Linked DNA regions of Alligator mississippiensis. The protein of the gene in region 2 purifies or fractionates together with the protein of the main gene of each other region. This does not show direct contact. Links are inferred from orthologs where the notes say so. Each region holds a gene or a part of one and is shown on either strand. Other genes may lie near its edges. The genes, in order: AMBRA1, BAG2, tubulin alpha-1A chain and CEP170.

The links.
Region 1: the proteins of BAG2 (region 2) and AMBRA1 purify together in Homo sapiens (affinity purification with mass spectrometry; 3 studies listed by BioGRID, with this or other methods). This does not show direct contact. The link is inferred for Alligator mississippiensis from reciprocal best matches to the Homo sapiens genes BAG2 and AMBRA1.
Region 3: the proteins of BAG2 (region 2) and tubulin alpha-1A chain purify together in Homo sapiens (affinity purification with mass spectrometry; 4 studies listed by BioGRID and IntAct, with this or other methods). This does not show direct contact. The link is inferred for Alligator mississippiensis from reciprocal best matches to the Homo sapiens genes BAG2 and TUBA1A.
Region 4: the proteins of BAG2 (region 2) and CEP170 purify together in Homo sapiens (affinity purification with mass spectrometry; 3 studies listed by BioGRID and IntAct, with this or other methods). This does not show direct contact. The link is inferred for Alligator mississippiensis from reciprocal best matches to the Homo sapiens genes BAG2 and CEP170.

What each region holds. Positions count from the first base shown.
Region 1 is NC_081825.1:227,344,175-227,351,793, forward strand, and holds the start of AMBRA1 (activating molecule in BECN1-regulated autophagy protein 1), read right to left. Parts: upstream 3,018-7,619; 5' UTR 2,829-3,017; intron 1-2,828. UniProt on the Homo sapiens protein: Substrate-recognition component of a DCX (DDB1-CUL4-X-box) E3 ubiquitin-protein ligase complex involved in cell cycle control and autophagy.
Region 2 is NC_081824.1:51,387,017-51,394,294, reverse strand, and holds the start of BAG2 (BAG family molecular chaperone regulator 2), read right to left. Parts: upstream 3,004-7,278; 5' UTR 2,884-3,003; coding exon 2,765-2,883; intron 1-2,764. UniProt on the Homo sapiens protein: Co-chaperone for HSP70 and HSC70 chaperone proteins. Acts as a nucleotide-exchange factor (NEF) promoting the release of ADP from the HSP70 and HSC70 proteins thereby triggering client/substrate protein release.
Region 3 is NC_081838.1:6,695,829-6,703,767, reverse strand, and holds the start of tubulin alpha-1A chain, read left to right. Parts: upstream 1-4,933; 5' UTR 4,934-5,020; coding exon 5,021-5,023; intron 5,024-5,842; coding exon 5,843-6,065; intron 6,066-6,203; coding exon 6,204-6,352; intron 6,353-7,531; coding exon 7,532-7,939. UniProt on the Homo sapiens protein: Tubulin is the major constituent of microtubules, a cylinder consisting of laterally associated linear protofilaments composed of alpha- and beta-tubulin heterodimers.
Region 4 is NC_081824.1:159,685,418-159,693,023, forward strand, and holds the start of CEP170 (centrosomal protein of 170 kDa), read right to left. Parts: upstream 3,004-7,606; 5' UTR 2,867-3,003; exon of another isoform or gene 2,798-2,866; intron 1,576-2,797; exon of another isoform or gene 1,414-1,575; intron 1-1,413. Other genes in the region: SDCCAG8 (serologically defined colon cancer antigen 8), read left to right, coding at 3,638-3,704.

The DNA.
Region 1 (7,619 bases), on a different chromosome or scaffold from region 2:
ACTGGCAAGCTAATACACAACTAAGAATCCCAAGTATGAATCCCATATCTATTACCCAGCAAAACTTTCACCAGACCTACAATAAAATAGCCTCAATGAAAAAGTAGTAGCAGAACATATTTGTTAAAGTGCCCCAAATCCAGTAAATTCTCTAACTATAACATTAGCAGTATGAGGTTCCAGAGGGGTTGAAAGATGGGAAAGGTTTAAAGAATCCTACAAAGGAAAAGAAGCAACAAGATAAAATATTCAAATCCATAAATACATAGGTGACTGAAAAATTCTGACAGATCCAGTTCAATAATCCACAATTCTGCTATACAGAAGGCAAGCACCAACTTGACAACACAATTTTGCTTGACTTATTAGCTAAAAGCCAACTGGCAGTTATTTCTAGATACACAGCAAACAACAGGCACCTATACTCTCATGATACCACAGGGTCAGATGCTATATGCTATATGGCATATAGCACCTCATGAAGTAGTTTGTTGCCTATGAAAGTTCATGCCTTTCTAAACCATTTAGTTGCTAAGGTGCCACCATTCCCTGCCACCTGCTAATGGCACTGATAGTGGATAACAGAACTACTATAAGCAAGAGGGTTTATCACTGACAGATCTTAAAAAAAGGTTTATTACTATTTCTGACATGCTAGTGGATGAACAGTCAATGCTACATTTGAAATTTAACACAGTCTTTCAAGCCTTGCCCTTCTCTTATTCAAAACTGATTCAAATGTGCTTAGATGTGACCTTATTACATAAAGAAACACCTAGGGTGGGAAACTAAATTTAAAAACAGCAATGTAGTGAACTAACAGTACCTAGTGATACCACAGGATCCCTGTCAAGTTTTAACAGCTTCAGCAACAACTTGGAAGAAGGATAGGAAGAACAGTGAAATCTGCAGAAGATGCCAAACTGGGAGGAGCTACAAGTAGCAATGAATGCAGCAATACATATCAGATTCTTATATAAAAATTTGAGTGCCCTTCTTCATGGAGGGGGGACAGAGAACTACATCTACAAGGGCAGGACCTGCTCTAACTGGAATCCCTCCTGAAGAGCAACTACTGCAGGGGTGGGCAAAATGCGGCCCGCGGGATGGATGCGGCCAGCCAGACCATTCTGTCCAGCTCATGGGACCCCTAAAACATTTAGAAAATTAATATTTATCTGCCCCTGGCTGCCGGTCATGTGGCCCTCAATGGCTTGCCAAAACTCAGTAAGTGGCCCTCTGCCCAAAATAATTGCCCGCCCCTGATCTACTGTCATGACACCTGTAAGGCTCCTGATTACAGCTAAGGCACAAACATTCAAAGACACTTTCTTTCTTATCACAAAGAAGCAGTATAAAGAAAAAAAAAATATTGCTGTTGTCACTAACTATTTCACTTCTGTCATGATACCTCTTCTTTGCTAGTCTTTTAGCTATTTTTTAAGACAAGGCCTGCAGCTCTCATGTTTAGGAAGTGACTAACACACCGCAGCCACAATCAAGACAAATTTTTAAAAAAATTCAAAAAGCACAAGCATCTAGATCATTGGTTTTCAACCTTTTTTGTACAAGGACCCATTTGTAAACATCAATGGCCAGTGCCAACCCAGTACCCCAGTCTTGACCCTGTGCACCCCACCCCCAGGCCCTCAGTGCATGGGGCAGGAGGTGGGTGCGTGGGGCATTGTGGGGGTTCCAAGCAGCCCCTGGCAAGCTGAATCTCTGCCAGCCTGCAAGGGAAAAGCCATGGTTTTCTACTTTTTTCTCCTTTAAAGAAGAATCCATTTTTAAAGCTTGTTCATCCGTTTTCCAAGTTTGGTCCCAACCCTTTCATATATTCTTGCGACCCACTTCTGGGTTGCAACCCACAGGTTGAGAAACACTGATCTAGAAGACTGATTTAGAAAAAAGGAATTGAAAAAAAAAGTGTTTTAAAATTTTTTTTTAAACTGTATGCAACCAAAATGTTAAGGTGACCAAGTATTACAGTATCAATCACAGCATCATTTGTAAAAAAGCAATGTTCTGCAATACACATTTTCAATACTCTGCAATCAACTGAATGTGGAACAAAGGATGAAAGGAAGATAGAGACAGTGACACTTAGGTCAAGATGTAAGTTGCCTTTTGCCATATTGTGGGCATCTTAAAAGCACTACAGAGGGAGAAAAAAAAAGGGATGGATAGAACAAAATGTAAAAAACATTCATTTGAAGTCTAGGATATTTTCAGGTCCTACACTGGCTCTCAAGCCCACCTGCCAGTTCTACAACGTTTGTGCAGGACTGTGTTTCTCTGATTTCTGTCTCCCCTCTTCCAGTCACTGGGACATACAGCTGGAGGGAAAACTGACCATTTGGGAAACCTTAGCCTGCTACAAAACCTAGGAAGTAAGTTAGAGAAAAAAATAATAATATAGAGGCCTCGAGTGATTCCCCCGGCCATGATTTCATAAGATTCTTGGGCACAAATCATCCCAACAACAGGTGACAGGCCTCCCGGCAGAAGCATGAAGTCTCTTCCTCAGAGAGCAGGATCCTTTCAAACCTACACCCCAGAATTAAACGGTTTACTCCCACTTCCTTCTTCCCCCTTGCGTCATCTCTCCGGGCTCTTCTGGAGAGGCGCGCTCCTGCTCCCCTCCCCTCCCCGGCCGGGCCAGGGTCCGGGCCTGCTCCGCTCCGGCGCTCCTAGGCGAGCCCCAGTCCCGGGGGAGCTCCAGCAGAAGGCCCCAGGCCCACGGGTCTCGGGGAGGAGCCGAGCCCCGCTGGCCCCTCTCCCGGTGGCTGCGGGGGCAGCAGGGCACGGAGCTGGCCCCCAGCGCCTACCTGGTGCGGGCCGGGCCTGGTCTGGGGAAGCAGCGCGGCCACCTCCGCTGCTGCCACTGCCGCCGCCGCCCCGAAAGCGCTCGCAGGCCGCACAGCCGCTCGCCGAGCCCGCGAGCCAGGCCCGAGCAGCCGAGCCACGGGCGGCGGGACGGAGCGGCGCCGAGGCCCGAGCGCTCGAATGCAGAGCCGTGCCAGGCGCAACCAGCCGAGCGGCGAGGGCTCCACCCCGCTGGTACAGACCGGAACAGCCCGGGCGTGCGCAGGGGACGGGCTAGAGCAATCGAGCTCGGAGAATAGGATGGGGAGAGCCAGGAGCCTGGCGGGGGCGGGGCTAGCCTGGGTCGTGGCTCGGGCATCTTCCGCGGGCCGCTGCGGGGCGGCGGGAGAGGGGCCCCGTGTGGCCGGGTGGACAGGCATTACCATCAGTAAAAGCGTTCAGCGTGTCCGATCTTTTTGGAGGCAGCTGATTGATGCAGTATATGCAAAACCCAAATAAGTCTCAGGGAGTCTGAACTCACTTTGGGGTTTGCTGTCAGCATCTTCTCATGACTGCTCACCTCAACAGGTTCAGCTGTGACGATGATGATCCAGTTCTCACTGACTGGCGATTACAGTGAGCAATAGAAAGTAAAGAAAAAAAAGGCTTATTTGCATATTTTTCAGTATACGCTGGTTTTTCAGCAAATAATGAGAATTTTGGGCTTGCAATACCACAATTTTATATTTAAGACCTGGCAATGCTGGAGGTGTCAGACACGCTTTGAGGCATGAGCCGCCCTTTTCCAGGCCCCTGGTGCCTGTCACTCCCGGGCACCTTGTCTCAGGTTTCCCCCAGCAATGCCTTTGGCTGCACAAAGGAGGCCACCAGACTGGTCCAGCTTCTGAGGAGCTGCTGCCTCATCCTTAGAGGAGCCTCCTCCCTCTGCCCTGATGCCCCTGAGCTGCTCCTGTGCAGCACTAGGTGCCAGGCTACTGCCCACCACCGCCTCCTCGGGAGCCTGCTGCTGCTGGGTGTTAGCTACATGGCTCCCCCACATGGCCCCACCAAGTGCTGGGACCACCCGGTCAACCTCCTCCTGGCCCTCGCTAAGCCACCCGTCCCTCTGACCCACCCGCTGACACCTGGACACTGTGGAGCTGTCTCCCTGCCCCATCTCCAGGCAGAGTTTCACTGGGCACTGTCCACCGGCTCCATGGTCACATCTGAGGGCCAGTGGGTGCTAGCCCATGTGCTCTGCTTGGTGTCACTCACCTTGAAGCACTTGTTATTAACCTCTGACCCACACCTTTCTCTGTTACTGCTCTAGTGGTCCCAAGGAATTAGTTGTTATGTTTCCCATGGGCCTCCCTTTTCAAGGGAGACATCATTTTACTTTGTAGCCTACGCCCACTATCCCTACAACATAACAAATTGGCCTGTCCCTCATCTGGTCATGTCTTCAGACACAATTTCACTGGGCAGTGTCTACCAGCTTCTTGGACTTGTTCAAGGGCCAGTGGGCACTGGCCAGCATAAGTGCTTCCCCTCTGATCCTCTCCCTGTTATTGCTTTAGCTTTTTCAAGAACCCTGTTGGTGCTCTTAAAAGGCCCCTCTAGAACCAGAGGGGGCTAATTGCTTCTGTGTGGGCTCATGCCCATGATTCTTTGTGAACCAAATATGCCTGCCCAGCACTGGCTAAAGATGTGAAGTGCTAAGCCTTCTGCTTTGCTACTAAATGCTGCTTGTTGTTTTTACTACTTTCCTTCCACCCACCATCCTCACACCAAGAGGTCAATCCTGCAATGCGCTTGACTTCATACAAGTGAATAATCCCACTTATGTCAGTAACCAACTCGCATAAAGTTAATACCTCTCCACAGTAATTCAGGTCCCTCAAAGTTCTCAATGAGCATTCCTCTCCCCATACACCTGACCCACCCAACCTCCTCATAACTTCCAGTTGCTTTCAACTGCCTGGAGCAAGCTATCCAGTCATCCTCCTTATAAAAAGGCATGACTGTTTGTACCTCCTGGGAATTTTCCCTCTAATGTCCTTCCAGAACATTATTCTGATCTTGGGACTTCTCTCTTTGGCTCATTATTACTAAAGATGTTGCTACATGAACAAGATGTTGGTTTCTTAAGAGTTCAGTCACCTTCTGCGGACTTCGCCTCCACCGCCAACTACAGAATCTCTATAGCGGTTGGCATAACAACTACCTGGAATGTCACAAGACCATTGTGACCTCAGAAGCTACTGATCATTTAACCAACCAAGCATCCAATTTATCAGATATGAAAATGAACCACCCCTATTCTTCTGTTCTTTAAATCATCCTGTTCTAATTTCAATTGGTTAATCATGCATTAAGGATATTAAAAGAGTTCCAGCACATTACACAATGGTAAGAATGTTTTGGAACATGCAGGTAAAGTGTGCAATCTGAACATTGAGAAGTATAGAAAATAAATGAGTCTGCTAGCACAACTGTTTGGTAATCAAAATTTTCCTGGAAGCACTTGAAGGCCTTTAAAGATTTGGATCCTGACAGAAAAAAACAGCAGGAAGATTCAGTCAAGACAGTTCTTCTCATGATGAGGTACAAATGAAGCGTGATGGAGCATTCCCACTACTTCCTCATCCTCCAAGAGTCTGGCTTCATCAGAGACCTACTTGTAACAATACCCATGCAGCATCCTCTTTGAAAAGGAGCCTTGGAAGTTCTTATTTTGAATTAGCTTTTAGCATTTAGGGTAGCATTTAGGTCTCGCTTTAAATCCCAGTACTAAAGTCCTTTTGTAATATTTAGCTGCAATTAGGATAGAGTAAGGTTAAACAACAGGTCAAATCATAAATTCAATGTTTCTAATCTAAGGGAATCCATAAATAAAAGCCTCACTAAAAAAAGCAAACTAATTTTTCAACGCTTTAAAAAATTAAGGTAAAAATCCAGCAGCCAACAGAGAACTATCCTGTTTTTTGTACTGGGTGCAGCATATATGATTACCTTCCCCAGGTAGCAAGCAGCTCCTTACTCTGAGAGAACAAGTATGTTTTCTTGAGGCTAGGGTAGCAGAATTGGAGCAGCTAAGGCAGATCAGTTCATAGATGAGGCTTTCAATGACATTGTAGAGTAGACCCACCTCCGTAGCAAAGCCCATGTTGCTGAGGAGGATGAGCGCCTCAGGCAGGAATGGATGAGAGCATCAAGCTGAGAAGGAGGGAAACTATCCTTTAGATGGGGCCCACCTTCCAGCTGATGTCAGAGTGTCCTCTTGTACTGAGGATACTCTTCCATGGGAGGGGACCACAAAGGACAGTAGGTGGTTGTAGTGCAAGGGCGGGGGGGTTGATCATTATTAGTGCATAAATAGCTGGGATTGTGACATCTAGGGGGGACCACATGGTGACTTGCTTGCCCATTGCAAAAGGTAGCAGACCTCACAAGATGTATAGAAAGGCTACTAGTGGGCACTGGAAAGGAGCTGGTGGTCATGGTCGATGTGGATACCAAAAACGTAAGGAAGAATGGGAGAGAAGTCCTAGAAGCTAAAATTAGGATGTTAGCCAGAAGGTTAAAGTTCAGGACCTCCACAGTAGCATTCTATGAAATGTTTCCCATTGCATGTGCAGGATCAGAGAGACAGACAGAGCTCTAGAGTCTCAATGCTTGGATGAGATGATGGTGCAGGAAGGAATGGTTTAGGTTTTATCAGGAATGGGGGAACCTTTTGGGATGGAGGAATCCATACAGAAAAAAACAGGCTCTACCTGAACCAGAATGGAACCAGGTTGCTAGCACTAAAGATTAAAAAGGCTGTAGGGCAGTTTTTAAACTGAAAAGTGGAGAAAAGCCAACAGGTGCGGAAGAACACACAGGTCAGGGCTGAAAGAACCCCAAAGGGGGACACCACGCAAATTCTTTCACAGCTTGAAGAGGATAGTAGGAGAGTAAGAAGTATAACTCTAGATAATAGTCAGGATAAGTCAGTGTGCCAAACAAATAGTGTGAGCAGTAATAGGCAGCTGAGCAAAAACAAAATTTATAAGTGCCTCTACACAAACGTCAGAAACCTAAAAAATACAAGATGGGTGAACTAGAATGCCTGGTATTAAATGGTGACTTCATCATAAAAGGAATCTCAGAGACTTGGTGGAAGGACAATAATCAATGGGGTGCTGTTCTAACATATTACATACTATATAGGAATGACAGAGTAGGATGCTGGTGGAAGAGTGGCACAGTATGTTAAGGATAGTATAAATAGTAGCAACATAAAAAAAAAATACCTGAAAAGAAAACTGCCATAGAATCCCTGTGGGTAGTAATTCCATACTTGAATAAAAATAATATAGTGCTAGGATTGTACTTTGACCACCTGCACAGGAAGGTGAAGATGATTATGAAATGCTCAGGGAAACTAAAGAAGATGCTAAAGTGGGACAAGCGATGATAATGGAAGACTTCAACTATCCTCTCACAGATTGGGTAAACACCTCATCTGGGTGAGACTTGGAAATAAACTTTCTGGATGCGATAAACAACTGCTTTGTAGAACAACTCATCTTGGAACCCACAAGAAGAGAAGCAGTTCTAGGCCTAATCCTGAATAACACAGGACCTGGTTCAAGGGGTATCTGTTGGTGAGCCACTCTGTAATAGTGACCATAACATAATCCCATTCAGCACTTGCGTGGGAGGGAGTAAGACAAAAATGTCCACCATACTCATATACAACTTTAGGAAGGGAAATGACATAAAAAATTAAGAAATTAGTCAAAAGTTTAAATAAGCATTCATAAAAGTAA
Region 2 (7,278 bases):
TATAGTTTTTAGACACAAATCTTGGGAGAGCTCTTCTTAAACCCACATCTCTTGGAATCATGAGATTAGATGAGGATCTTGGTTTTCAATTTTTAAACAGTTGCAGAGAAAAAGCTTGAAAATGTGACTTGTGTACCCTTAGCAGCTTGAAAACAAGGAGACAAAAAGAAACCCAAATATCCAAATGAAGTACTTAAAGAAAATTTTCTTGATACCACAGTGATATAGCACTCCTTATATATCTAAAAAATAGGGTAACAGGTTGCATTCTATCTTCCAATATATATATCATTTTGAATATCATGAAAACACTGTTCTCTGTATTTCTGATTTTAGTTGGCCTAAGAGTGATTAAAAGCAAATTCAGGATCCTCCTCTAGTGCTACACTCCTTACCAGAACACAGCTTAACCCAGTGCAACAGATGCAGGTTGCACTGTCGTTACCAGATGAGAAACTTGGTATTTGTTTCTTTGTGAGAGCTGTTAAGAACTCTCCCCATGCTACCACATTTAATCATTTAAATTACTTCTATTTAAAGCTTATGCAATATAATTTGAGGTACATTTTTTAATTGGTTAGCGGCTCTTTGTCAGTTCTGTCACTGTGTGCATTTTACTATGTGGTCTTTTTTTGAAACTAGGATAAACACAATGAAGCACTTTTTCAGTTGAATATCATGAACAATTTAGAAGCCATGTTTCTCTGCTCAGGTAATTGATTTACTTAATAAAATTACAGATAAACAAAAAAGCTCCTCTATAGTGTCAAGAAGACAGAAGATGGCATGGGGGGGGGGGGAGGAGGGTGATGGACAGGACAAAAAAAAGTACATCTGATTTTATATATGTAAAATATAATTTAGAACACTGCATTAATTTAAATACAGCCCAGAAATAGACACTTTCAACCTGTTCTCAATTGCAGTTGACATTTCTTGGAGAATACTGAAAGTTATGGTGATACTCAGGCTCAAAGAAACAACTAATATTCCAAGTTAATGGCCACCTGTACTCCTTTTCACCAATTTTCTCTGTGCAGCAATTCCCTAATGGCCAAGCCAGCACATCTAAACAACTGTTGCACTACAGCCCGGTTTCAAAGGGTGATCCTCTCTCTTTCCCTTCTATGTCCGTTTACTAGCTTCCATCTTTGGACCCTTCTACGTTTCCACTCCCAAGCACAATGCAACAAGTATTCAGTCTTAATATGGCACGCATTACTCTCTTTCCATCCTAGCCCCTCATCAAAGAAAAATTATTGGTGTTACTGTCTAAAAGAAGTACTTAATTCTTCAAGGCATTAACTATATAGTTCTATAAATCCACTGGCTGCATGTCTATGCACAGACCCAAGCAAGTCTGACAAGCTTACGAGAGCAAACCCTTGGGACGTAGTAGTCAAAGTTGTATCTGGGGAGCAGCAAAGGAGAAGCTGAGACTATATATACAGCACAGTATTTTTAGGGGTGGTGATAGCCAAGGAATGTAATCAACTGAAAGACCTTATTTATATATGAAAAGTTTTCATTTACTATAGTTACAAACCCACAATTTCAGTTACTGTAACTAAAACAATGTGTGAAAGGTGAGATTTCTCTTCTTTTAAGCTGCTTTACTACAGCTGGGTAATTTTTTTTTAACAGTCTGTGCACCAAAAAGTGCAGCTTTAGCTTAAAGGGGAAAAAAGTAAAAATAAATTAAAATGACATTCTGGTTTGATGGTTTTTTAATGACACATTTTAACTTTTCCTTTTGGAAAAAAAAAATTTTTTTTTTACATTGGAAGACCACCTAAAAGTGACTTCAAAATTTACCATTCGGAGTTTGAAAGAGGTCTAAAAAAACCCCAAATTTAGTGATTGTTAATTGTATTCAACCCAAAATATGGAGGACTTTTTTTTTTTTTTTCCAATCAGGTATCCAGATTGTTGCTGTCTTGACCAAGAAGCAAAAGGAATCAAAACTTGTGGCAAAGGTAATACATTTTATTAGATATTTGCAACAAAACTTCTTTATTTGCAAGCTTCTGGGCACAGGCACCCATCACCAGGCACGGAAGATCGTAAAGACTGTAAACATTCTCCTAGGTAGAAATGAAAATGTGTATGTCATTTTGGGGGGGTTGAGGGTTGTTTTGTTTTTCGGGGGGGGGGGGGGGGTTCTCCACAGACAAAATGGAAATAAGATGTTTTGCAAGTGCAGGTGGAAGACCCCAGGGTGGGTGAAGTTTGGCAGTGACAAGAAGTAATGCCAGACAGGGAAGAGGCAATTTTTTAAACATTTTTCATGTTCCAAGCCAAATAGAGTCCAAATCCAAGAGTCAGTCCAGAACTGTAAACGGCCCTAAACCGGCAAACATCCTCCACCCCCACCAGGGGCTTCAGATACTTCCAAAGTCTTTTGGGGGGCATCCTATGTGCAGGCCCAAGCCTGGAGGCTTGGGGATGGGCGGGGAAGAGGTGCCCACTGCTGCAAAGTAGGAGCGCGAGAAGGGGAGAGTGCCATGATGAGACCTGCTTTCCTTTTACAAAGCTAGTCTGCCCACAATTAAGGGCTGTTAGTAATGTGAATTAAGCTGAAGAGTGAGAATTAGGACCAAAGCGTATATTTACTCTTTAAAATGTACAATAATATCTCATGCATAAAGCCGAGCCCTGAATAAAGAGCTGCGGACTAAGTGCGAGAGCTAGAGCTGGAGCCGAGCCGAGCCGAGCCGAGCCGGGCGGCAGGAGCCCTCCCCGCCCCGCCCCGCCCCGCCCGCACCTGAGCTCCAGCTGGTCGAGGCGCTCGAGCAGGCGGCCGGAGCGATCCGCCATAGATGTGGAGCGGTAGAAGCGGCCGCGGGGCTCGGCCGCCTTGGCGCTAATCTTTGCCTGGGCCATGGCGTTGCCTCACCCGGAGCCGCCACCGCTCGGAGCCCGGCGATGCGCCACCCCCGAGCTCCGCCCGCGGCCAGGGGGGCGGGCATGGGCAGCGCAGCCCAGTCCCAGGGGCCGCTGCTATGTAGCGGCCCGCCACGTGGGCGGTGCCGCCCGGCGGCTGAAGGAGAAGCCGCGCTGGTGCCTGGGGGCGCGGGTGGGTTCCGCCAGGACAGCCCGTCCTGAAGCCACGTCGCCGCAGCCCGGCCCCTGCGCCAGAGCCTGACGGCCCGCAACCCTAGCCTGCCGCACTGCAGCGTCTCCTCCGCTCTCCGCAGACGGAAACCCGGAGAGAAACAAGCACAATCCCGGGTCCGCCGACGTGTGAGCTCTGCCTAGAGCTGCCATAAGCAGACGAGGTTTTTTGGATAGCTCTATTAATACTTCGTATTAGATCAGCTAAATAGTTGCAAAAATAGTTCTTTGCAAGCTTTCGGGCACAAAGATCCTCCCTCCTTCAGGCATACCGAGACCCTGCTCTGCCTGGGGAAGGGTGTTTATCCGGGAAAGCTTGTAAAGAATTTTTCCAATGATTTAGTTGGTCTAATAAAAGAAATCACATCTGCCCCAAAATCCTCCTCCGCTTGTGTCCTTAGGCTACAACCACACTGGTAAGAGCTGCCCTAAGGCCTTCACTCCTATCCCAGTACCTGTGGCTGGCCTTGGACCAGGGCTGCACCAGCCGCCCACTGGTACAGGAAGTCTTCCTTTCCCACCTCCATTTTAAATGATCGTTTTACTGAAGTCCGGCTTGAGTCCTGAAGGCAAGTAAATCCCAGCTAAAAATGTGAGCTACAGCTGCAGTTTCAACCAGCTTAAGGAGATGCAATAAAAGAAAAAAAGATGTAAAAAAAAAAAAAAAAAAGAGCAAAATGTGTGCCAACATGTTTAAAATTAGCATGGAAAGAAGTTCAAACCATGCTACAGGAACAAACAGACTCAGACATTTTATTTACATAAAGCGACTTCCCAATTCTAATCATAAAGGCTGCTTCATGTTGCCAGCTAATAGTAACATTACGAAAGAGGCCTGGTAACACTACCATGCTTAGAGAAGCTGTTGTGTGGTCAGGGGCGATCCAGGAATAGCTGTACCTCCAGCTGGAAATGCTGTCATTTTGCTTGATCTTCTGGGTTCCCCTATGCTATGGTGCAAGTAATTCATACAATTTATCTACTTCACAGAGGATGGATTAACACTTGGTTACTGGGTCCTTCTACACCAGTGGTCATCAACCAGTCATCAATCACGCTGGACTGGTCAATCTGCCAGTTGATCTGAGGTTGGGGGTGCTGAGAGAGTGCATGCACATGCCACCCACCACATCTATGAACAGGGTGGAGGTGGCTGCCGCTGCACACTGGGCTTTGCTCCCTGCTGCAGCTGCGCTGTGCTCCCTGCCAGCCCAGTGGCAGGACACACATGGTGTTGTGTGGTGCTTGGGGCAGGGCTCAAAGCACAGCATACAGCGGCTGTCGCTTCCACCCTCACTGCACACAGATGTCCCACCACCCAGCCTGACTGGGGCCCCACTCACTCCACCCCTGCTCCTACCTGTGCCCTGCTCTCTCCTTCACTGCTGGAGCCTTGATTTGCCCCCCTCCCCCCATAGCCCTTTCTACTCCCCCTGTCCCTTCTCCCACAGACTTACCTGCTCAGGGGGGCACCCTGAGAACCCAAATAATTTTTTCTCCCTCCGCCTTGATTTACCCTTTCCCTTCCCCTTCACCACACAGACTGACCTGCAACAGGGGGGGAGGGGGGGGGAGGAGGCACAGTAGATCTTGGATTGTTTTTTAATTCAAGTGATCTTTTACTTAAAGAGGGTGGAGATCAGTGTTCAACGCATTCATTAATGCACTGTTGGTTCAGTGGTTCTAAACCTTTTTGTACTGGGACTCATTTGTAAGCATCAGTGGCCAGTCCTGACCTGGTGCCTCCAGGCCCCAGCCCCCCAGTGTCAGGGGGTGTTTGGCCTTGGGAGCTCTAGGTAGCCCCTTGCAGGCAGGAGATCCACCAGCCTGCAAGGGAAAAGCACCGTTTCCCACATTTTTCTCCTTTAAAGGAGAATCAATTTTTAAAGTTTGTTTGTGCCCTTTTCATATATTCTTGCAACCCACTTTTGGGTCATGACCCACAGGTTGAGAAACACTGCTTTAGGTAATACACATTAAGTCTATTTTGATGTGCATTAGCTAAAGAGCACTTTTTGTGAGATTTAATGTGCATTAGGAGAGGCTAATTTGCATTAAAGCCCACATGTAGACACACCCACTGGTGTAAAACACCACACAGCCCTACCTTGCCTCCACTTATAGGATAATTATAACAGAAATAAGGAGGAGTCAGGGAGCGCCTACTAGTATCTAAGAAGAGTGTGCTATTTGTAAGACACAATAATTGACTTAAGAAGCAACCATACACAGGTAAGTCTCCTCTGACCTCACTATTACACATGGTTCTAATAAGTCACATACAGGGCCCAGTTGCCATTCCTTTGTATCCATTTTAGATCAGAGACGACAGGAGTTTGAAAACCCCAATTTCTTTGGAAGGATACTACTTTGTCCACCCCACTGGTGGCCAACCTATGGCATTAGCAGTCATTATGTTTGGCGCACATGCCCTGGGCACTGAGTTGGAGCGGTACTCTGGAAAGGGAAAGGGATTGGAGTGGCAATCTGGGACCAATGCTGGCTCAAGGGTTTGGGCTCACCTGATTCAGTGTTGCCACATCCTGGTGACAAATGATGGCACTGGATGACAGCAGTGGCTGATAATCACAGTAGCACTACTTTGGACCTAACTTCCAGCACACTTCCCAAGAAGGCTGGACACACTTTACCAATCAACTTTTGCCTTTCAGTCAGGGAAACTGATGTTGCCCATGCTTAATGCATGCTCACAGTAGTATGAATCAAAGTGTTCTCTCAGGCTTGTCCATTAAAAATGACATCATTTCCCAAATGCTTTTGATTTAAAACCAAACCACTCAGCCAGCCTTGGCCTAGTTTACTATAATGCCCTTCTTCTCTGAGTGGCTGCCCTGTTAGATTGTGCAACAAATTTCCTTGTAGCACTTGCTCTATTTTGTTTAGTCATGAAGAACAGGTACCTTGTATCCCCAGAAATGGGATAGCAGACACATTCAGTCTGGATCTGCCACTGTGTATTCTTTTTGAGATGCATTTATTCCATCCAGGCTATAATTTATTCTAAATGGATAGTGTATAAAGAGTAAAGAATTAAACAATGTAAAAAATGTATCCTGTAAAATGCTTTATTACCATATTTACCTGAACACAAGACAACCCTTGATATAAAATGGGGTTGTCCCCCCCAATAATTAGATTCTACACACAGAAAATGTATACATTTATTATAATTATCCAGGTGTGGAATTGAATTATTGGAGGACCATCTTAAATTCATCTCCCCCCACTACTGCAGGTGGTGTGGGGAAAGGTGGTAAAGGGGTAGTAATGGGGCAGGCAGTGGAAGAGGAAGGCAGCTTGCTCCCTGCCACCTCTCTCCCCACCTATGCTTACCTCCTATTATGCTTTCCCCCACCCACCCCAGCCTCAGGCTGCCCCCAATCCCTCCTTCTCCCTCCATGTCACTTCTGGCTGCTGGTTGAGCTGGGGGCACAGCAGCAGTGCCTGCTAGGTAGGCTGAGCTCCTGATCCTAGCTGGCAGCACCTGCTGTGCAGCCTTACTTTCCTTTTTCCTACAGCAGAGGCTTATGCAGCAGAAGCTGCTATTACTATTTTTCCTCACTTAAAACATGCACCTCAAGTTCCAGCAGCTGTATATAAGAAAAATGTGGTAATTTATTCTGTAATAATTCTATTTCTTTGTCCAGTTCAGTGGTTCTTAAGCTTTATCAACTAAAGACTCTGCTCCATAACTTTTGTGAGTTGAGTGGTATCCCATTTAAAAAAAACAAACACATTTATTACTGTGTTTACCTCCTTGCACAAAGGTCAGATAGTGTCAGGAGAAAAGGGGGGGGGGGGGGGGGGGGGGGGAAGAAGAGCAGCCATGCAGGGACCAGCATGTAGTTCTCTCCTTGCAGAGGGCCCAAATAGTTAAGATATTGCGCTTTTCCATCCAAAGAGTTATTGTAGAAAAACAGTGTTACAACTCTCTGTCCCCACACCTGAAATTATTATTGTTGCTATTTCTAAGAAGGAGAGAGAATAGCAGGGAAACTTTCCTTCTATGAAAGAAAATGTTGCGACTTCATGGTTCTATAAACTTAACCATGTTTGGTAAAGATTACTATGGCCTGCGTGACGCACAGTATTTACCATAAAGATTAATCATGGGTTTCCCTTAAGACTCCGAAATTATTTGAC
Region 3 (7,939 bases), on a different chromosome or scaffold from region 2:
TACCATGTTCCTGCTCCCCTTGGCCTCCCTGCAACTGCTGCCCATCCTGGGCTGCACCCTCCAGACAGAGCCAGGGCCCAGCTCTACCCTAGGGGAGCTGGTCACTCAGGGACTTGCCCCAGAACTAACTTTGGCCCTCAGCATCTCCCTGCTGTGTCCATGCAGGGCCTTACCCTGGAGTGGCTGCTCTGGATTAGTGCTAGCATGAGCGTGTGCCTGGACACCACCCTGGCCCTGAGGCCCCGTGTCCCTGTGCCAGCCTGCGCTGTGTGACCGGGGTGAGATGCCCCAGAGCCACAGGGAATGGGTTTCCTGCTCCCTCAGCCCTATGGCAGCCAGAAAGGAGGCCTTCCCAGTGAGCCCCGCTATGCCCAGCTCTTTTCCACCCAGGAAGGGGGTCACTGAAGCCCAGGAGGGAGCAGGCTCTTCCCACCTCCCCACCCGGTCCCTAGCCTGCAGCTGGAAACCCCCCCACCAAGGCAGGCAGCCAGGCTCAGCTCAGACCACAGGCTCCAGCTGTCTTGGGGAGAAGGGCAGGGGATGGCCAGGGAAGGGCCAGCTGAAGAACCAGGGCCAGCTGAGCCACCAGGCTCCTCCCTCCGTGCCATGGGCGTCCGCGCCTGCCGCAGCCGGGGAAGGGGGAGAGGCAGGAGGAGGAGAGACAAAGAGCGGAGAGTGCTGCGCTGGCAGGCGGAGCCCATCTCCCTGCCCCCTCCAGCTCCCGGCATGGGAACCAGCCTGGAGGGGCCCTCGGTCACCCCCCATCAGCAGGCCCCCCCCTCGCATTGGCGCACCAGGACGGGGCTGTCTGTGCCAGGGCCCCACCCTGTTTCTCTCCTGCCTCCTGGGGGGACCCAGGGGTCATCCTCAGCTGAGCCTTGGTGGAGGCTGAACGCGGACAGGATGCACGTATCCAGAATGCCCTGCACCCACTGCTGTCCTGCCAGCCCCACCCTGCTCATCTGCCGTCCATGTGCTTGCGCGTGCTTTGAACACGCCGGGCCGCCTTCCCAGCCGTGCCGCAGCTTGCTGAGCCGCTCCACGCGTGTTTGCAGCGGTGGGGCGTGGTGCTGGTGTAGTGAGGCCAGAGTCCTTCCCTCCCCAGGGTCATCCCAGCTGCATCCCAGGGACGCTCCCACGCTCCCCTCCTCTCTGTCCTGCCATCTCCTCCCCGCCAAGGCAGTCCTGGCACCGTAACAGCTCCAGCTGCTCCCAGGCTGGCCGGCTCTCATGCTCCTTCTATGGGAGGGGAAGCAGAGAAGGGCAATTACTGAGGCACATCCAGGCCAAGCCCCTTGCCGGCCCCTGTCCAGGCTGCAGGCTTCCCTGATGCACTCAGCACCCTGCTGCTGCAGCCCTTTGAGCTGGGAGGAGACAGGACAAGGAGGGCCCACAGCACAGGGGTCCTCTGGATGGCAGGAGGGAGGGCAGGGGGTGCCCCACCTGGGACAGATGAGATGCAGACCCCCAGGACTGAGAGACAATCCCCTCTCCTGCATGGCGTTTTGTGCTGCTGCAGCCCCCAGACAGGCAGCTGATGGCCCAGGCTGCCTCCCCGCCCCCACGCCGGAGAGGGAAGCCATGTGTCCTTCCGGCCGGTCGGCAGCTGGGACGCCCATCTGGTGCCAGGGTCCAGAGCCTGTATGCGCTGGGGGAGAAATTCCTCCCCCCAGGGCTTGGAAAGGCACAAAGGATTGCTGCAAAGGGGATCGCCCATCTGTGCCTAGCCAGGGAAGTTGCTTGCTGGGCTGGGCTTGTCCAAGCCCAGATTCCTGGGTCCTCAGGCTGCAGCAGGCAAAGCCAGGACCCCCTTTCTCCATCTGTCCTTGGGCATTCCTGTGGTTAGGGGCAAAGTGGGGGGTCAGACCTGCACCCGCAGGGGACCAAGACAGGGGCGCACAGGGCACCCTGCACTCAGCTCCTGGGGGTCCCCGGGGCCCAGCTCCGCCCCCACCCTCCCAATGCTGCTTGTTTGGCTGCCTCATGGCCGTTGGAAGGGGCTGGCTCTCAACCGCCGGATGCCTCCTCCCCTGCCCGGGATCGCTGTGCGAGGCCTGGCTACCGGCAAACACAGCCGGGGAGGCCCAGCAACAGTCTCCTAGAGCTGCCTCGTTGCTACCAACAATCAACAGAGGCTGGTGCAGGAGAGGCCACCCCACAGCCAGGGACCGAGTGGTGGGGAGCAGCTCTGGTGTAGTGAGTGTCCCGGGCAGCAGCCTGCAGGATGGGGCTGTGCTGAGCACCCCCGCCAGGGCCTCAGTCCCTTCCTAGCTGAGAGTGGCCCTGCCCAGCCCCTGGAGCTGCTCTACCCTGGGCCTGAAGCTTGAGGCCGTCACTGGCAGCTCCTGTGGGCAGGGGGACCACGGACACAGGGCTGACACCCATGCTCAGGCGTGGGCAGCAGGACCCTGGCAGGACGACGCAGGGCTGACATGCATGCCTGGGCGCGGGGCAGTGGTGGATTAGCACAGCTTTGCAGCCCTGAGTGTCTCGCCCTGTCGGCCTGCCCCACTCCTCTTGCCCCAGGGAACCAGGAAGGGACCCCGTCACCTTCCAGGGTCCCCTCTCTGCCCCACCGTCCCCTACCCCCTCCCTCCCTGGCGCAGCAGGCAGCGGCTTTCCGCAGGCCACGTGATGGGCAAGGTGATAAAGGAAGAGCGAATGCCACCAGGGCCTCCTGTTCCAGCTCTTAGCAACCAGCTCGTTGCCTAGCAGCGGTTGGGGGGGAAGGACTCTGCCTCGCATACCTAATGAGGCTGTGAGCCTAGAGCCACAGAGACCCTCCATGGATCTCCAGAGCCTCTGGCTCCATCCCGCACCCGCCCCTTGGGGCTTGGACCTATGATGCAGGCTCTATATTCAGCCTCATGCCCCCCCCGATGATGAACAAGGGGTATGGTCTCTGCAGGGGGAAACTGAGGCATGCAGTGGTGACCTCACTCCTGCCACATCATGGTGCAAGGGCAGGGCAGGGTTTGGATGCAGGTGTCCGAGTCCCCTGCTCTGACCTCTGCTTTTTCCTTCCTCCCAGAGCAGGAGTCCAGCTGCCCAGGCCCCTTCCCGTGGGGGAAACCAGGGCCAGCCACAGCCACCATCCCCCAGGGGCTTCGCCCAAGGGTGACAGGAGGGGCTGGGGACAGGCAGCTGCGGAGGGTAGGGGGGTCAGTGTGGACCCTGGCTCGGGGCCCCAGCCAGGCCCGGCCTTGACTCCTGCTTCCAGCACTTCTCAGCTCTGTGCCTTCCCCCTCTTCCAAACACCCCTTGTCCAATTGCTGATGGCAATGCCCAGGCTGGGACCTTGGCAGGCATCCGCTGCCCCCAGCAGGATGTGACCCTGGGAGCAGATGGGACCAACGATCAGGATGCGAGTATCCAAAGCAGAGCGTACGAGGGTGAAAACAAAGCTGGAGCCGTTTCCTGCCCCATGCAGGCAGCTGGAGGAGGGGGCTGGTGCCTGCAGAGCTGAGCTCCCGACCTGTCCCTGCCCCCTCTTAAGAGGGCATGGAGCATCCAGGGGCCCCATGCTCAGGCCGGGGCAGCACTGCTCCAAGTCCTTCTCTCTGCCCCTGTGCCCAGGCAGGGAGGCAGGGGCTGGGTACAGGCTAGGGGCTGCCTCCACATACTCCAGCGGGGCTAGACAGAGCCAAAAGCCCCACCTGGTCACAGGGCTCGGGCCAATTCCTGCCTCTGGCTCCCTTGTCCCAGCCGTGTCCTCAGCACAGCTCCATGGCACAGGATGTCTGACCCAGCTGAAGCCTTGAAGGAGCTGTCCGGGGCCTCATTCCTTGGTGCCCGGATCCCGGTATCTCAGCAGCTTCACAGTGGATGGGAGATGGGGTTAGGGCTGAGTCCAGGTCTTCCTCAGCCCTCAGTTCTGGGACAAAGGAGCCCAGGCTTTGTGTGCTTGCAGCTGGAGAGCACTGGGGACAGACACCTCTGGGGTGCCAGAGCCCAGGAATAACCTGGGGGGTGGGAACCGAAGGGAGCTCGGGACTAGCAGGGAGGGGCCCGGAGTGGAAGGCAAAGTGCCAGTGCTGGGAGCAGCCAGGGCAGGGAATGGGGTCTGGGGGCCACGCCCAGGACAATGGGGCTCTTCTCCTGGCTCTGCCCAGGCAGAAAATGGGGCCTGGGGGCTGCACCCAGGACAAAGGGAACCATCCCCTGGCTCAGCCCAGGCAGAAAATGGGGTCTGGGGGCCATGCCCAGGACAAAGGGGACCATCCCTTGGCTCAGCCCAGGCAGAAAATGGGGTCTGGAGGCTGCTCAGGACAGAAAATCTGGTCTGGGGGCCACGCCCAGGACAAAGGGGACCATCCCCTGGCTCAGCCCAGGCAGGAAACGGGGTCTGGGGGCTGCTCAGGACAGAAAATCTGGTCTGGGGGCTGCGCCCAGGACAAAGGGGACCATCCCCTGGCTCAGCCCAGGCAGGAAATGGGGTCTGGGAGCCGTGCCCAGGATAAAGGGCCCTTCCCCTGGCTCAGCCCAGCTGCTCCCTGCTCCCCCCAGCCCCTGTCGGCAGCTGCGGTGCAGGGCGTGGTGGTGCCCCGGATCCCGCAGGCAGGGGCAAGGGGGGGGCACAGCCGCTGCACAGCGGGTACCAAGCCCCCCCACCCCTTCTCCCGCACAAAGGAGCCCTGCCCCCCGGCTCTGGAGCAGGTGGGTTTCCAGCCCGGGCCGGGGGGGCTCACAGAGCTGTCCGAGGGCAGCCCCCGACGTGCGGGCGGGGTGCGGATGCGGGGCACGGCCCCGCCCGCTGCCTTTGTCTGAGGATGCCCCCGGCTCCGGGATGCTGGGGGGGGGGGATGACCTCATCCCATCCGCCGCGCACCAATCAGCGCCGCCCTCCCCGGGCGGCCCGCGGCGGCTGGACCAACCGCAGAAGCCCCCGCCCGTCCCCATGGCGACGGGGATGTATATAGGCGCGGGGCGGGGGCCGCGCCACGAGTTCTCTTACATCGACCCCATAAGAGTCGCGCTGTAAGAAGCCGCCTCCTCTCCCGGCCTCTTCGCCAGCAGCAGCATGGTAAGGGCCGGCAGGTCCCCCCGGCTCCGCGCTGCGCCGGACCGGTCCCAGCTGCCGCCCCCGTCCCGTGCCCCGGGCGCTCCGGTCCGTGCGGGGGAGCCGCGCCCTTGCCTGGACGGGGCGGCCGCAGCCCCAGATGCGGGGCAGGGGGGCGCGGGTCCACAAAGCCCCGAGGCGGGGCCGGGAGCGGCGCCGGGCTGGTCCTTTGTTCCATTGATGCGCGGCGGGAGGGAGCTGGCGAGGCCGCCGATGAGATCATGCTGGAAGCGGCCGGAGCCAGCGCAGCCGCGGGCGGGGCCGGGCGAGGGCTGCCTGGGCCCGCACGGGGGTGGCGTCGGGGAGGGGGCGAGGGGCAGCGCGTGGGGAGAGCCGGGAGAACCCAGCTGGTTCTCGGAGGGGCTGAGCGGGGGGCTCCCAGCTGCTCCCGCTGGGACCCGGAAGAACAATGGGGCGGGCGATGCTGAGCTGCAGGGTGACACCCCGCCATGGGTCCTGGGGGAGAGCTGGGTGTGGCCGCACCCGCGGGTGACAGTCCCCTGGCACCTCCCCGGTGGGGCCCCCCACCCTGTTGGCAGTGCTGGGGGACTGGCTCCTTGCAAGACGCTCCCCAGCAATGGCTGCGCTGGCTGCATGCCCTGCAAAGGCTGCCGCTAGCTTGGTCTGTGCCACGCCCACATGCGACGGGGACCATGATGGCTCCCACGTTGGGGCGCTGCAAGGGCAGAGGCGGGTGTGAAGCAGAAAGCTCCAACCGCAGCGTGGACCCAGTGCATGCCGCTGCCAGGCTAATGGCTTCTCTTCTCCGGCTTTTCTCCGCAGCGCGAGTGCATCTCCATCCACGTGGGCCAGGCCGGCGTCCAGATTGGCAATGCCTGCTGGGAGCTGTACTGCCTGGAGCATGGCATCCAGCCCGATGGGCAGATGCCCAGTGACAAGACGATTGGTGGGGGTGACGACTCCTTCAACACCTTCTTCAGCGAGACCGGAGCTGGCAAGCATGTGCCCAGGGCTGTCTTTGTGGACCTGGAGCCCACCGTCATAGGTGAGTGTGCAGCCCCCACCCCAGACATACACAGGCTTCCCCATCTTCCTGTGCTCAGGTGAGCCCCTGCATGAGGCCCGTGCCTGGGCAGGGACATGCGGCACTCTGCTCATGGGCTCCTGCCTCCCCTCTCCCCAGATGAAGTGCGCACTGGCACCTACCGCCAGCTCTTCCACCCTGAGCAGCTGATCACAGGCAAGGAGGATGCCGCCAACAACTATGCCCGTGGGCACTACACCATCGGCAAGGAAATCATCGACCTGGTGCTGGACCGCATCCGCAAGCTGGTATGCATCAGTTCTCTTGCAGGGGGGTTAGGCAGGGGCAAGGACAAGGGAGTCTTATGGATGACGGGGCGCATGTGTGCGTGCACGTATATGTATATATTTAATCTCCAGTCTCTCTTACTTTATGTTTCTTTCTTGGTTCTCTTCCCAGCAGGCTCCTTTCCCACTGGCTGGTCCAAGGCTGTTAACCAAACACACGCACTAGCTATAAAGTCTATAGCCCAACATGCACTTATGTAGATTTCTTTCTTTAATATTCATAATAAAATTTAGCAAACAAGCTGAGGATCATTTGCCTTTTCCTATTATTATTATTATTATTATTATTATTATTATTTCTGATTTGGGCCAAGCTACATTTAGATGGAAAGTGATATTCAATTTAAAAATGACAGGGAAGGCATTTTGAAATGGTATTGGCTAAGAAAACTGCCTTCCGTAGTCTGGATCCATGAGAAGAAGCTGCCTTTTTTTCAAGAATATATTTTTAAAATACTATTTATTTAACAAAGGAAGTGTTATGTGGAGTTTGAATCCAGTTACAATGGAAGGCATTTATAATTAGTAACTCTACTCCCTAGACCACATTAATTCATAGATTAGGAGCTGTATAAGCAGGAAAGCTAGTTCTTTTGTTTAAATCCTGAATAGGTCAGAGAAGCAACTTGCTGTACTGAGTGCACTGAAACTGCCTCTGTCTGTGCAGAAGAGGCAGCTGCTGTTACAAGCTGGGTTAGACCCATCACATTCCTGTCCCAGGGATGTCCACCAGTTCCCTAAGGTGACCTTCTCGCACTTTGGCTGCTGAAGCACCAAGTCTTTCAAATGGGAAAGGAGGGCCTAGCAGCGCTCCAAATGTCATTCAACATGCACCTCTGACAACCGTGTTTGCCTACAATTATAGCATTCTCTGTACTTATTTAAAATGACCTTATCAGCCCTGGCAGCTAATGCGTGGCCACATTTCTTATTCTATGGCAAATAAACTCCGGCAGCGTAGAGCAGTGTCCCAGGTGGGTGGGTTGAGCTGGGAACACTGCAGAGTAAGAGGAAGAATTTTTTAGGCAAGGAAAGAAGAGAACTCGCATTCCTGCCTTCCTGCTCCTTGGAAACCAACTTCTTCCAACAGGACAGCTGGATAATGGAGCTATTGTTTCCTTTGTCTCTCCTCTCCGACAGGCTGACCAGTGCACCGGGCTCCAGGGCTTCCTGGTCTTCCACAGCTTCGGGGGAGGCACCGGCTCCGGCTTCACCTCCCTGCTGATGGAGCGCCTGTCTGTGGACTACGGCAAGAAGTCCAAGCTGGAGTTCTCCATCTACCCGGCCCCGCAGGTCTCCACAGCTGTGGTGGAGCCCTACAACTCCATCCTGACCACCCACACCACGCTGGAGCACTCGGACTGTGCCTTCATGGTGGACAACGAGGCCATCTACGACATCTGCCGCCGCAACCTGGACATCGAGCGCCCCACCTACACCAACCTGAACAGGCTGATTGGCCAGATCGTGTCGTCCATCACCGCCTCGCTGCGCTTCGACGGGGCCCTGAACGTAGATCTGACGGAGTTCCAGACCAACCTGGTGCCC
Region 4 (7,606 bases), about 110 Mb from region 2:
TACTAGCCAAAAGCTCATGCTAAAAAAGGCAAAGAATATCTGACTGCAAGATCCAGGGGCAACCTCTACCACCACAACAAACCCCTTGCTACTAGGAAAAGGGAGTACAGTGAAATTCCTAACAAGCAGTATTCTTAACTAATTACTTGGTACAGTAATTGCGTACAACTTCTTTGGTATCACTGACTTCCAATTAACAAATTAGAAACTTCATTTCCCAAGAAAGGACATGAAACCCTTACTTCTCCATACTTCTAATAATCTCCTACTTATTCTAGTGTATGAAGATCTGCACTACTACCTTCAAGAGCTTCTGCAAGAGGGAATTCTCTGCTACTCTTTCCATCTTACCAACCTTAGCTGCTGAAGCAGAGATGAGAATTTCTACACCCTGGTGTTCTGCTTCAGGAACAGCTTCAGTGCCTCTCTTTTACCCGTTAAAAGATTTCACAAACACCAGAGATGGATATGAATCTGATTAGTTTCACAGTTTCTTAAATGGTTCTGAACAACAACCAGAAACTAATCAGATCCACTTTAATTTCATGTTTTTTGCCAAAGCTAAGAGGAACAGCTGTGACACTAGAATGCACTATTTCCAAACTGAGGAAAACAGCTCAGCATCAGTTTATATTAAGCAAGTTAGATTTGCATGCACATAGGCAAACATTTGAATACAAGATTGGATTCTGTAGCTACAGGTGGACTTGGCTTTATTCAGGTGCTAAGGGAAGTTTCGATATTTGTCACCTGTATGTAAAGAATTCAAATGTTTCCAGTTCACTCTTTTAACGTGCGATTCTTTTATCAACAAAATTATGAACTGTCCTAAACTGCTATGCATAAGCAGTCTTTTTAACAGCTATAAATTCAGCAAATTTGAAATCAAAATCAGACAAAGATGGAATTCCACAATAAAGTTTTTAAAAAGACAATTTTCAGAGTCTAGCTTCACATTTAAAGGATGCAAACAATTTATAAAGGTCTATCTGCACTTAAAGTAACTGATATTATTACAAGCAACTTCTAGGCTACTGAAAGATGAGGGGAAAAAACTCCCTTTTGTAGATTGCTTATTTCATGCCCTAAAAACAAAATCTTACACTTCCCCAACTTCAGTGTTTTCCCACCAGTGACTTTCCCTTGTTTGTGTAAGCCTTAAACAGAGCAAAAGCTGAAAGAAAAACATACGTACAGTAATTGTTTCCTTTAAAAACAAACAAACCCTCAAATATTGATTGGGAAAAATCACAAGTATACACCTTTTTTTTTTTTTTTTTTAAAGATCAAACAGATTTCACATTTACAGTGCCTTTTTTGGCCAGATATATTATTCAGCATTTAGGCAAAACCGAACACTCTGGGAAGCTAACATGGAAACCACAGTATATGTAAGCACGTGTTTTCCCTTACAGGTTTCTCTTGGACTTTGGGTCCTGATCCTGCATGCCATTTAAGAGGGGTAAATCCATTCACATAGTCCTATTGCTCTGAGTGGATCTCCATGGAAATACAGGTGCCCACCTGCATCAAACAGCATACAAGACCAGGTTTTATTCTCTCAACTCAGTTAAATATTTTATGAATACCTCTGCCTTCACAGAAGGTGTTTACATGACACTGGATCCTCTCCATCAACACTCCTTCCACTAAGGGTCATAAGAGAGTTCAGCCATTCTGCATCCTCTACTCAACTACACAGTAAATACACCTTAAATCTGTAAGGAAAAGGTGGCATTGCTGTTGACTCGCATGTCCAGAATATGCACGCAAAATGACATCTCGAAAGCTGACAACTAGCTCACTGCCACGAGCTCTCTTTTGTCGAAAGCCAGCTTCCCTCCACGTGAGACTGGAACTGTGGGACGTTCTTCCTGCATTCAGCATTTTCAGAGGATCACAGAAAATTCAGGTGGGAAGGGACCGCAGAAGGTCCAACCCCCTGCTCACACCAGAACAGTCCCCAACTAAAGAAGAGCTTGTTTTCATTTCAAGCAGCAACATGTACCATCTTAACATAACACACACTGAAATCCGGTGAAAAATAAGAAACACGATGAATTTCCTCTCAGGAGGGAGGGGTGGTCTTAGCAGCCCCTCCCCATGCCAAGAAAACAGACTGACAAAGCAGGGGGGGTGCGGCCAAAGAGCAATTTTTTCCAATCCAATAAAAGATATCACATCTACCCAAAGAACGGTGGCTGCCTAACAAACACCCCGGATACCAAATGGGATGCAATTTTGGAACCAGGGACACAACTGCGACCAGAATCCCTCCTCTTCCCTGCCCCCCTGCAGAGCCACCAGCCTGGGGCTGCGTGTGGATGAGATCACAGACCACAGCTCATCCTCAGACCTGTCATCTGCCTCTCAGCCCAGACTCTGCTTCCTCTTGCTTCGGGTTGGAAAACCGCCATCACGGCATTTTTGATATTTTTAAAATTATTATTCTTTTGCACCGCTCGTTACCCCTTCGCGGCCACTCCCAGCACCTCCCCGCCCCTTCCCTCCAGCCCGGCCGCGACCCAGGGTGGGGGAAGCCCCCTGGGAGAAGGGGTGGAGGGGGGGGGGTCTCTGCCCTCCCCTTCCAAATGGACAAGGTGGGGGAAGGGGGCGCAGCTCCATTCATTCAAAGAGGACGGAGCTGCCGAATAAGGTGGAAGGGGGGGGATGAGGAGTAGAAAATGAACCAGCTGCCGGTGAGAGGACGCCGCCCGTCCACAATGCCCCCCCGGCCTCGTTGTCCCCCTCCCCCTCCCGTTAACGGTTACGGGGCTGGGCGGGGCACCGCACTCACCCCCCGTGGGAGAACCGCCGCGTGGGGAAGGGGCGCCCGAGTGCAGCCGCCGCCGCCGCCGCCACTTACTGCCCCACCACCCGCCGGACCGGCACTGAAGCTGTTCGCCGCGCTCTGACGCCAGTAACCGCCGCACCGTTATTCCCCGCACATAGCGGGTAACGGCACGGAGCACGGCGCACCACTGCGCAAGCGCCACCCGATCGCGCGCACACAATGCGGAGGCTCGGGAGGGGAGGAGCTCAGTACGCAAGCGCGGCCCCCGCCGAGCGCGCCCCGAGGAAGCCTCAGTGCGCAGGCGCACGCTCCCAGGCAATGACGGGCTGAGGGGCGCGTGCGTTGTGCATGCGCCACAGGCAGGCAGCGGAGGAGCAGGGGGAATCTGCCCGCCGCTTCTCTAGGTCACGACTGAGCATGCGTCAAATCTAGACCCTGAGGAGAAGGGGGAGGGGAGTGAGCACGCGCAGATCGGGTCGCGCATCCAACAAAGGGGAAGCGGCGCTGAAGAGTCTCTCTTTGTAGCGGGAGGGGCGGCTCGCGGTGGATGCTGGGAAGCGTAGTCTCAGGGGGACTCTCTTCGCGCGTCAGGGAGAGGTGAGGGGCGGGGCCTCGTGCTGGTCGGTTAGCAACGGGCGGCCAAGCGGCTCTTGGGCGGCCTGCCGGGAGTTGTAGTTCTGCTGGGAGGGCCTGGCTGCGGGGCGCCCCGGGGCCCGGAAGGCGGCCGGACTACAGCTGCCGAGCGCCCGCGCGGGCCGGGAAGGGCAGGAGAGCAGGGCTGCCCCTCGCCTTGGAGACGGCAGTGGTTGCAGGGGGCGGCGGCGGGAGCCGGACCTCGGCCTCATGCGGGAGCCCCGGGGAGAGCCCGAGCTGGAAGAGTCTCTGGAGCGCTACCACAGCCGCCTCCGAGGTGAGCGGAGCAGCGGGGAGGTGGTGGTGGTAGTGATAGTTCTAGTTCGACGGGAAGTTGCGGGGTTTGGAGCGCTTCTCAGGTGGGCCCCAGCCCCCCCCCACCCACGCCACCCCATGGGGCGGCTTGGGGCCCCCCAGGCCCCTCACCCCATATACCCCCCCTTGCCCCACACACTAGGGGGAGGGGGGCAGCGGGGACACTGGGTCAGGACTGGCCATTGATGTTTACAAATGAGTTCAGAAAAGGTTATGAATCACAGCTCTGCGCCACGTGCATGAGATCTTGCCTACCTTTTGAAGGTAGTTCAGTATCCCTGTGCTTACAAGGGCTCTGATTTGAAAAGTTATTTTCTGCCCTCTAAATAGTCATCTGTGCCAGCATAAGACTCTTCATCCCCAATGTAACAACACCTGCACTGCGGCTTTGGCTGAAACAGCAATGTCAGATAGGACCATGGGGGAGGGGGGAATATTCACAGCTCTGACCAATAAATCTAGAATCAGTATGAGGGACGCGTGACTTTTCCCAAGAAGTCCTGTTTTAGGCTTGTAAAAGTTGACGAAAAGTGGAATCAGAGCAGAGATCCAACCTTTAGTAGTTTTTGAGAGGGCTTTGTAGAGGACTGTGTTCTGTATTAAGCCTGGGAATAACTTGAAATGCTGGTGGCCCAAATCCTTGCTTATGCAGGGCATGTCTACACATGCGCTCTAATGCGTGCGTGGTAGGCTATTTTACTGCATATTAAAGCATCACTTAAACGTGAGGTTGATGCACAGGAAATGTGCATTTTCAGAGAGGGGGCTCCCATACACACCCTACATACCTTCAAACCCTCCCCTGCGAATCCTACAACCACACCCTCCCCCACACAATCGCACACCCCACAGATATGGTACCCACCACACACCCACCTGCCTCTGGGGGAAGTTCCACTCACTGCTACACGCACAGTCCCCACAGCCCCCCACAAACTCTATACCCACCCACACATCCATACATTCCCACAGGCCCCCCATACCCACCCAACACCTAAATACACACACCCCCACAGCTCCCCACAAACCCCATGCCTACCTACCCATACCCTGCCACACCGCTCCACCCCCCCCACAATCCCCCCCCACAATATACAAGAGTAAGACTTCATTTTGAGCTATTATACAATTACTTCTATGTATACGGCACAAACGCACACAAATCAAGACAATTTTTTTTTAATAAAATTAAAATATATTATTACGGATGTTTGATTTTTAGTGTATAATTCGTTTTGATTTTTTTTTTTCGGTTCCAAGCCCCCTTCCCAAAAGGAGTACTTCCAGGAGCAAGGGGAGGGACTTACGGTGGCAAAGTTCAGAGGTTGGGGTAGGACTTCCAGTCCCAAGATGTTGACCAGGGGATGGGGTGTTTGTGATGGGTTAGGGCCACTCTTGAGGCCCTCGACAGCTCACCAAAACTCATTAAGTGCCCCTCCAGCCAAAATAATTGCCCGCCTCATATTAAGAATTGTCACTAAAATCCAGTATGCCCTTAAAATGTTTCTTGGTATAAAGTGGGATTATTTTTACTTTCTTTTTTAGAATCTTGTCCTGTACTTCACCCTGAAAATCCTTTACATTTAAATTAACTAACTACACCACTTTATTTTCTACTACTTCATAGATTCATAGATGTAGGGTCGGAAGGGACCTAAGTAGATCATCAAGTCTGACCCCTTGCTCTGGACAGGAGAGAATCCTGGGCTCATATGACCCCAACTAGGTAATTGTCAAGCCTCCTCTTAAAGACCCCCAAGGTAGGAGCAATCACCACTTCCCTTGAAAGTTGGTTCCAGATCCTAGCTGCCCTGACTGTGAAATAGCGTCTTCTAATGTCCAGCCTGAACCTACTCTCAAACAACTTATGGCCATTATTCCTTGTTACTCCAGGGGGTGCTCGGGGGAACAGGGCACCATTCCCCGCTGGTCTCCCCTGGTAAGTTTCTAGAGAAGGTATAAACAAATGATTTAACCTCTACATTTTGAGAGAAGCCTATCCTTTCCCAACCCTGCAGTTAACACATTTGTCAAGCATATGTCCTTTACCTTCTTCATTTACTTTGTTTTGTCTTCTGATACCATAGTGTGTGTGACTCTGCCAGTCTCAGTATTCTGCATTTTTTTAAACAAGGGTGAACCCTGTCCCCTTGCTACCCTGCCTGACATTGGGTCCCTGGCTTGAGAACCCTTTTTCTTACAGTTAGTCGATTTTAATGGAGATATCTGGCAGATCTCTGGGGAGCTAAACAACCAGCAGATGTTTTGAAAAGCGTGTTCAGTGTTCATGCAAACAAGACAGCATTTCATATCCCACCAGTATATTTTATGTAAGCTGCTTGTATAAATTGGTATGAAAAAGCAAAGCTTACAGGAAACGTGCATATTGTCAGCATGACCTTCCTCTTGCCTTGAGTATTCATAATTCAGACTCACCGCTGTTCACTTCTTGAGTTATTTGGTTTATGCCATAGTTATGCTTGTTCTCAAGTGTTCTGACGGGAACTTCACCAAAAGTTGCTGCTGTTTGGTGGTATCCTTCATTCACTTGTTGATAGTTCTTGATGGTTCATTCATATCAGCCCAGATGTGGCTGGGACTCGCACTCACTCACTGCCTGCCTTTATCCTGTGTTTCAGGAAAGAAATGAATCTTTTCACATATAATGATTAACAACAGAAAAGTGAGTGTACAAACTGAGTCATGCATGTTTTTCATTCAAATATAGAAATATCCTGTGTTTTCCAGACAACGTAAGTGCTATTATGCTTTAAGTTAATTTATTCCTGACCAGTACTACTGGTTGCAACTCTGAACAATATCAAGGTTCAGATGTGCCTTCCTCTGTTTCTACTTGGATTCTTTCATAGTTTTATAGTTGTTAGGGGCTGGAAGGGACCTTACAGATCATCAGGTCCAGCCCCCCTGCACTTAGGCAGAAAGACTGCTGCAATCAGATGACTACAGCAAGATGGGCGTCAGGATGCTTGCAATCCAAGTGTAGTCTGCCACATACATACTGGTATAAGCACAGGTATCTACTCGCTCATTTTTACAAGTGATTCTTCTGAAATGGAAGCATTGCTTGTCATTTACAAACATGATTGTATCAGGAACTGTTTTCATTACACAATGCTTCTTTGCCTAGGATGATTCTTGTTTTCTCTCTCTTCTGCATTCCTGCCTCATGATGTGCATGTTGTTGAGGATGAGTCCCATTAGGTTTCATTACAAACAATGCAAATCTAGCAGTATTTCTTGTCCTTTCAGATTTGTGTAACTTTAGATCAGTATCCTCCCAGACACCACCCTTTTGTACTTGTTACACAAAATCATGTTGTTTGGGTGCTTAACTTTTTAGTATTAAAGCTATCTATATTCATGGGGATCACTATGTGATACTGGACTATAGGTTACTTTTTAGTAGGAACATTTTTAGATAATGTGACAAGTTTAATGGAGGTCACCTTCAACTGTATTCTTTTGTCAGTTTAGGAGTGCCAGTGCTGTTGCTTTTCAGAGTTCTGTGAGTGTGTTGGTGGTCTTTTGCAAGTGCTTGATCCTTAGGTTAATTATAGATCCACTGTCTTAAAAACAAGTTTAGTTTTATCATGAAAAAGTGTGTGAAGCAGTTAATGTATTGCTTATTCAGTGTTGTGACTCAGATTAGATTAGCCTATGATAATATTTACTATTCCCTTTTATTAAAAATGTCACCCCCCCGCAATATCTTTTTAAAGTTTTACTTTTCTCAGTCTTACCCTATTGTTTGAGATACAGTTGTATTTTATATGAAATTCATCCATCAATTATGATGAGGCTTCATAGAACCTAAGAGGAATTTGTCCCAGGGCAATGAGGAAA